2 linked regions of the Oryzias latipes genome follow. The protein of the gene in region 1 interacts with the protein of each later gene in a pairwise test. Links are inferred from orthologs where the notes say so. Each region holds a gene or a part of one and is shown in the gene's direction. Other genes may lie near its edges.

Region 1 (3,920 bases):
ATACAGATAATTTTTTTATGTACATTTTTTTTTTGTATCTCTAGGTTTGGGTCAAAGGAAGGACAAATTTAAGGATTTTTTTTTACCTGCTTCCTGTATCCCATTAAAACACACAAACACCAACTAAATAAGAAATAAAAAAAGGTCAGCTGGTGGTAAAAGTGGAGCAAACATTAGGAACATCTTGCACCTGGTTTCCTTTCACCTTATTCTTTTCAAAGTGTGTGGCAGCAAACAATTACTTGTGCACAATTGGCTCTAAAGCCTCAGATCACTTAACATAAGAGTGTGAGCTCCATGTGCCTGGCACACTCGGCATATATTTGGTTTTCATGGATCGCAAAACACCCTAAAAAGAAAAAAACCTGATCACTCACCTAATGCAGCGGTGGCCTTTCCAACCACATAGATGGGTTTGGTGTTCCACTGATCTCTCAGAGACTTGTTCCACTCTATAACAAGAGATGATTACATGTTACATCAATTTATTTGAAGTAGTAAGCCTAGCAGAAGAACAGAAATGTTAATTCTATTTGTGATATTCTACCTTCTTTTCTTTTTTCTGCGTCTAAGCACATTTTCACAGCCTCCACTGCCCTGGGGCTAGTAAATATAAGGCCTCCATGTTTTTCTGGCTGAAAAAGCTGAAAAAGAAACAAAAATCATAAACAATCGATATCTAATAACTTCAGGTATAAATATATATGTAAATATAATTGCTTTACCTTATCAGCCAATGTGTTTAATGAGACAAATTTAAATGACAGCACTGGAATTAGTGTAGCTTTGTGTCCATGTGATGCCAGCTCCTTCAAAATAAAATCAAAGAAATATAGCCACTATAATTAATGCAGAACTTTACCAGAACACTGAAACCTGCATCTACCTTAAGATATGGATCAGGTCCAGAAGCTTCTTCTCTGGGCTCTTTCAGAAGCAACACGTGCATTCTGGCGATGTCCTTTCAAAAATAATGGTAATATAAACAAGGGAAAATGCTAGAAAGACAGTTGGGACTCGCAGAACTGCAGAAAGGTTTAGGATCTGATTTAGCTAAGCTACACCCTTGAGCTGTTACATGCAGCCTCCTGATAACGAAGCTGCTGAGTCACGGTTAGAGGGTTGTTCATTATTATAAACACAAAACCAATTTATTGAGATACTTTGTTTAGTGCCGATGGGTAACTCATCCTCGGAGTCGAAGTGTTTACATTAGCAAGAAGCAGCAGATGACGTAGGCAGCTCCAGTTAGCTTCCTGTTTATGTGAAATGTGGGTGACATTTAGGTAATTACTCCATTAATTTACCCTCAAAATAGTAATAGAAACAATGCAAAAATAAATAATAATAAATAAAAAATAATAAACGCAGTCAGAGTTGTTTTTAGCGACGAGGTCCTATCAATCATTGGGTATGGTGGGGGGAGCTACAAAGACCAAACTTCTTCATTCACTCAACAAAGTTCTTAAAAAAAATTGTATTCTATTTACACATGTATATTTTTTAGATATGTATTATATTTTAAACATCATAGTGTATTAGATAAGTTAACTGTTTTAATTAAATTACATTTTAAAAAATTCACCCCCCAGAAACTGCAGTGGTATTTTCCCATTTTGCTAGTGTCAAACCGGATCCACTGGCAGCTGACATGAACGGAGTCAGGAGCCGTAATGGCGGCTTCCCGACACTAGTTTCTTTCCTGTTTCCATCGACTAGCTCCGCCTACTTCAGATGACACACGCGTGTTTCATGGTGCAGCATGGCGTCCTCGGCAAAAAAGAGAGCAGTAGGTTTGGGTGAAAACCCAGAGGAAAGCGAGAGTTCTGATAAGAATCCCGAGGATGATGGGGATTCCGAGGAGGAAGAGGAGGACAGCGACGCATCAGAAGAAATTAACGAGGTGAGTTATGGCACCAACCCAGACTTGTTAGCAAAGCCAGTTAGCATTAGACGCTAGCAATGTCAACAGATGGTTGATAATCTGCTCACATCATGTTTTGGTTTTTACATAGTATCTTATAAATTATTTTCTCCCTTTTTGTTTACACCTTTTCAGGAAGTCACCGTGGATTTTGAAGCTCACACCATGTCAAACAACGACTTCAATGGCATAAAAAAGCTGCTGCAGCAGGTTTAGTGTAGTCTTTATCATTGGTTAAGGCTGTAGGGGGTGTTATAAAGCTTTCACTGATGTTGCTGTCTATGTTTGGATCTAGTTGTTCCTGAAAGCTCATGTAAACACATCAGAGCTGACAGACATGATCATCCAGCAGAACCACATTGGAAGTGTCATCAGGGTATGTTCCTCCCTCCCTCCCTCCCATTCATTCATTCATTCATTCATTCATTCATTCATTCATTCATTCATTCATTCATTCATTCATTCATTCATTCATTCGTGGCTTTAATTGACAATATCTTGGTTCACCACTGCTTTAGCAAGCTGAGGTTCCAGAAGACAGTGATGATGAAGATGCAGATGAAGTGTTCGGTTTTATTTCTATGCTAAACCTCACAGAGAGAAAGGTAAGAATTTATTTATCAATGGGGGGAAAATATGATTTTTTGTGTGTGTTTTTAACATTATCCTGATGATGGGAAGTGGGGATGGGCTTACTCCACACCAACTCAGAGGGGAATTTCTAAATAACTACTGCTGCTCTGCAAAAACTATGTTCTAAAAAACTATTTTTTCTTTTAATTTTGACTAAAAATCTGGCGTCCATCATTCTTTTCAGGGTGTGCAATGTGTGGAGGAAGTGAAGGAGCTGATTTTGGAGCAGTGTGAGAAGAACGCTCCTCATGCTCTGACAGAACAGCTTGAGAAAATCTTCAATGACACCAATAAGCCCGTTGGGCTTCTGCTGAGTGAGCGTTTTATCAACGTACCCCCACAGATCGCCCTCCCACTGCATAAACAACTCCAGTCAGTTCAATTTTAACTTTTTTGACAACCTAAATCTTGTATATTGAAAATATTTTCAGGAGCAATTTTGAAATGTATTTCATTCAATTTTAGGGAGGAGATAGCTGACGCTCAGAGGACTAATAAGCCCAGTGGGAGGTGCCACTACTGCGTGATGATTAGCAAGACCTGCAAAGAAGCATCTAAGAATATCCAGTCCAGAGGAGGAGTTCCTAAAGAGGACTACATGTTTGTCAATGCTGAGGAGGAATTTTTTTATGAGGTAAAAGTTGCAGAAATGCAGAACAGCAAATCAAACCTCCTCATAATCATCTGTCACTGTACATTCCTTCGCACTTATGGAGGGATTTTTGTACCATTATTCCACACGCAACACTCACTGGTTTGATCGTAAAGCTTTACAAATTGTGTGTGCTCAAAAACTTTGAGCACATTTTGAGAAAAACGCACTTGAAACTCAAAAATATGCTGAAACAAAACAATGTTTGATCTTGAAACTGAAAATCACAAGTCAACTAGTCAATCAGCTCAGAGACTGGATCTGCGAGCTAATTGGATCAGGCTGGATCAGGTTTGGGCACGATTGGAATTTCTGACCACTCAATGTCAACCATCATGTCCATGTCTGTGATTGGCTGGCTTTCGGGGCACATTTGTAACGCGGTGCCCTACTTTGTTTCGAGCGCAGAAGAGAGAAATTCTCCCAAGTGAAAACTGTTTTGTTTGTACATATTTATCTGTTTGAAGACTAAAATTGTGTTTGTACACATTTTTGTCTTTCAAGTGCATTTTTTCTCTCTTAAGGTACAAAAAGATTATTTGACCGCACAAAATTTTATCCTCAAAACAGTGAGTGTTGCGCTTGGAATAATGGCACTAAAATCACTCCATACCCAGTCAGTCACTCCAAACAGATTGCACACGGCTAATTGCCATGTGCGCTGCGGTGCCGTTAACTGCGAACACAGAGTCAACAAACTACTTTATTTTA
Region 2 (3,920 bases), on another chromosome or scaffold:
TTTGATTGTTATGACAATGTAATACTTCATATTCTGGCACATCAGCATGTCTTCGTTTATGAAACCATACTGAAGGACAATTTCACGAAATGCCCCACATCTGTCATTTTAACTACTGTCCTCCTTTAAAACAACTGGTTACAATATTATGACTTGTCTTTTTTCCCTCTGTGGCCCTAATATTCTATCATGTTACATATAGCCTTATAGTCTATGGGAAACTGTAAATTATCTAATGATAGCAACATCATCTAAAACTCATTATTTATCCAAAATGATTGAAATTAATGATCACAAACGTTTAAATAATGACAGCGGGTCTAGTTATATGTGATAACAATGTATAGTGAGCAATGAAATAACTATTGGTTTCCATTTGTGGCGACTGCTGACTGACATTAGGGATGAGATTAACTAGATCCTGGAATTTAGCCTGGTCTGGAGCAGGCTAACTCCACAGAATAAATCTCCATGGTAACTTATCCCATAACATATCCTCCTGCCCCCTATCCAGCTTTAGTGCAACCGGATTGAGGATCAATTGAGCCAGGATCACCAAGATATCCTGGCTTAATCCCTTATCGTACTTTTGTGCAACAGGCCCAAGGTCGCTGCACAACATGTATACAGTATAAGAAAAACAATAAACAGGTAAAACAACAATTGAAATACATGCACAATTAAATAAAGTGTATATAAAAACATGAAATATAAATAATAAAGGCTAATTTAAAATCTATGTGTAGTTTTTTTTCACAATTCATGATCTTTTTATATATTTATGAGAGATTTATTGGTTGGTTGTGTGATTGCACAAGGTCCGATTTATTTCTTTATAAAGAACAATTTGGGGTTCCAGAGTCAGTGGAACAGCGAATATGTTATGTGTATGTATGAATATGTTATATATTATTTTTGCCTTTCAAAATAAGAGTGGCCAAGAGAAAAGTTCAGCGTTATTTTGGGTAATTTACGTACGAATAGGAGCTCCTAACCAATAAACCCAAACCAAGTGAAAATGTAGACCCTTCGCCCACAGCTGCCTTCTCTGCCCATTCATTGGATGTTTTTTTCCTTCTATTCCGGGCAGGAAAAAAGTCGGCTGTTCTGTAAACCGATAATTAACTTCGTTCATGTTAAAATGTAAGACGCTGTGGCCTTTCTGCTTTTGTTAAACACTTGATTGTGAAGGACGCCGATGGTCACTGGTACAGATATTTCCAATAGTCCCTAAAAGCAACATCATTGACCACGTGACCAAGCAAATATGAGTGCAGCGCGATTTCCCATAATTCCTTTCGGAACCAGTCTCTTCTCTCGCAGCCATGTCTAAGAGAGGTAAGAGCCGCTGGACCATCCAGGTCCATCCTAGGCTGGTGTCGCTCCATCGGGTTCTGGTTCGGCTCCTGAGCGCTAGACGAAGCGGTTACATGATTCCACAGCTTTATTTCGGAGGTTTTAGCGCAGATTATTCCTCGCTTAGCGCGGATTCCCCCGTGGATTCCTGCTAGCACTGCGGACGTTCCGCGTGTTCCAGTCCAGTTCGAGACGTCCTGCTCTAAAACCTGTAGGTGAAGAATAATCTGCGAACAGTCAACGATGGCGGTGAGATGGAAACTGGTCTGACCTGGTCCACGTAGACCGGATCCAGGGCCTTTTATCCAGCAGGTTAGCATGTTAGCTTCCGGTTCGTTAGCCGTGAGGGACTCAGTCGTTCAGAACAGTCGGTCCCCATCGGCGTAATCCTCCAAAAAAGACCTCCTGTCCGCTGGTTTACCGGCCTCGAACCCGTGGCGTGGCCTGAATGTTGGCTCCGGAGCCGGTGGGCCCTCCTGAGGGGGGGCAGGACCCCGTGGATGGTTCTGTGGATGTTTGCTGCCGGCAGACACGGACCTGCGGGTTTCACGGCAGCAGGACGGACCTGTGATCTACGAGGGTCTAACTGGTCTTTCTCCTTCCAGGACGTGGTGGGTCTTCTGGGGCCAAGTTCCGCATCTCCCTGGGTCTCCCTGTGGGAGCCGTCATCAACTGTGCTGACAACACAGGTACGCCTTCCCAGCAGGTGCATGAGGCTGTAAGTTGGCGGGAACCGGTGCAAACGTTGCGTTTGCTGGCAGCGCCGTCCTTCCAAAAGCACTCGCTGGGTCTGCTGTGGCTCAGTGAGTTGTCGATGAAGGGCAGAGAAAGTCATCACTGTGGGTGAGACGGCAGCGTCCGCCTGTGGCTGACCGCTCTCAATCAGGGATGGGACACTCCCTCCACGTAGGTCACAGCTCAGACTGACGCTTCTGCTCCTCAGGGGCCAAGAACCTCTACATCATCTCTGTGAAGGGCATCAAGGGCCGCCTGAACCGCCTGCCCGCCGCAGGCGTGGGGGACATGGTGATGGCCACAGTGAAGAAGGGCAAGCCAGAGCTCAGGAAAAAAGGTGGGTGTGGGCAGCAGGAGGGTCCCTGTGGGTCCTTCGGCTCACCGGTCTTGGTCTGTTTGTAGGATTTTCTAGTAGGGCCGTCACCCGATCCACAGAACCACGGTTCCTATTTGATCTAATGTCTGAACGATTGTTTGAGGCATGAAATAAAAGTCTGTAATCACTTCATTTAGAAGCGGAGACCCGAATCACTTCAAACAACGCCAGGCTCAACTTCCTGGTTAACTCCAGCAGGAAACAAAACCTAAACTCGGCTGATGCTTTGATTCTCAAATCCTGAAAATTTTCTCCGGTTTCCAACCTCAAAGTAATAAGGAAGACGCCTCAACAACACGACGGCATAGAGAACTCAGAGAGGATGTTCCTGAATTCATACCTTTATTTAATGTAGGTGTATATATGTCAGAATTATTTCACTAAACGCATCTTCTGTCTTTTGTAAAGTCAATAGTTTTACTTTGAAAGGGAGAAGCTCGTCTTCCTCCAGACTCTGCTTTAGATCCAACATTATTCTGTGTTTTAGAGCAACACGTCTGCAGCTTCAGATGGTTTCTCTAGATGGGTAGAGGATCTCATTCTTGGAGGAATATTTCTGGTTGCATTTTGGGGAACAGATGACAAATGTCTGGGTTTTTGGAGACGTCACAGAAATCCCGTCTTTATTCTGGACGTCTGTTTCTATGAAGGGTAGACCTTTAAAAGTCTGGATGTTTCTGCCAAACATGCAGAAGGCGTGTGGAGGACGTCCACAGCCTAAAACACCTGGAATTCTCTCATCTGGGTTACTTTAGAACCGATCTCCTGCGATACAGGAGGGACGGCCGTTTTGGTTGGTTGTACCCTGACGGGAGCTCTGCTGTGTTGCAGTGCATCCAGCGGTGGTCATACGACAAAGGAAGTCGTATCGGCGAAAAGACGGCGTGTTCCTGTACTTTGAGGACAACGCCGGCGTCATCGTGAACAACAAAGGAGAAATGAAAGGTGGTTGTGTTCCAGGTTTCCTTAGTTTTCACTGAATTCTCTTCCACCGTCTGGATTTTGGCTGAACTGCAGCTTTTCTGGTTCTGTCTGCAGGTTCTGCCATCACAGGTCCAGTTGCTAAAGAGTGTGCAGACCTGTGGCCCAGAATCGCCTCCAATGCTGGCAGCATCGCCTGAATCGTTTTCAATAAAAGTAATAAACCCAGAGGACCGGCTCCGTCTGACTGTGTGGAACCAGAACTGAACTTGGTCTCAGTCACATCAGTGTGACGACCCGGTCTCACAGATGTGCCGTCTGATGGCGGTGGGGAGGACGGACCTGCGGTGCCGCCTGCTTCTACACTGCAGGTGTCTTTGACCCGGCTTTAAAGTCCAGAACTGGTCCTGTTCAGGTACAGGAAGGTGTTGACTCAAACATGAACAGTTCTGGTTCCTTCAAAGTTGGGTGTCTTGGTAAATCTGGAACAGAAGTGCTGCTGGGAAGTTTCAAACCAACAAGTCAGTCCACT

What was found.
Region 2: the proteins of bccip (region 1) and rpl23 interact in binary tests that used the Homo sapiens proteins (3 or more experiments, as listed by UniProt). The link is inferred for Oryzias latipes from reciprocal best matches to the Homo sapiens genes BCCIP and RPL23.

Annotation. Positions count from the first base shown.
Region 1 is NC_019877.2:11,824,585-11,828,504, forward strand, and holds the start of bccip (BRCA2 and CDKN1A-interacting protein), read left to right. Parts: upstream 1-1,651; 5' UTR 1,652-1,762; coding exon 1,763-1,903; intron 1,904-2,059; coding exon 2,060-2,134; intron 2,135-2,219; coding exon 2,220-2,300; intron 2,301-2,442; coding exon 2,443-2,529; intron 2,530-2,741; coding exon 2,742-2,929; intron 2,930-3,022; coding exon 3,023-3,191; intron 3,192-3,920. Other genes in the region: uros (uroporphyrinogen-III synthase), read right to left, coding at 378-452, 548-644, 726-809, 887-961, 1,586-1,615. UniProt on the Homo sapiens protein: During interphase, required for microtubule organizing and anchoring activities. During mitosis, required for the organization and stabilization of the spindle pole.
Region 2 is NC_019866.2:25,931,442-25,935,361, forward strand, and holds rpl23 (60S ribosomal protein L23), read left to right. Parts: upstream 1-1,230; 5' UTR 1,231-1,325; coding exon 1,326-1,338; intron 1,339-1,961; coding exon 1,962-2,045; intron 2,046-2,299; coding exon 2,300-2,428; intron 2,429-3,298; coding exon 3,299-3,412; intron 3,413-3,505; coding exon 3,506-3,588; 3' UTR 3,589-3,618; downstream 3,619-3,920.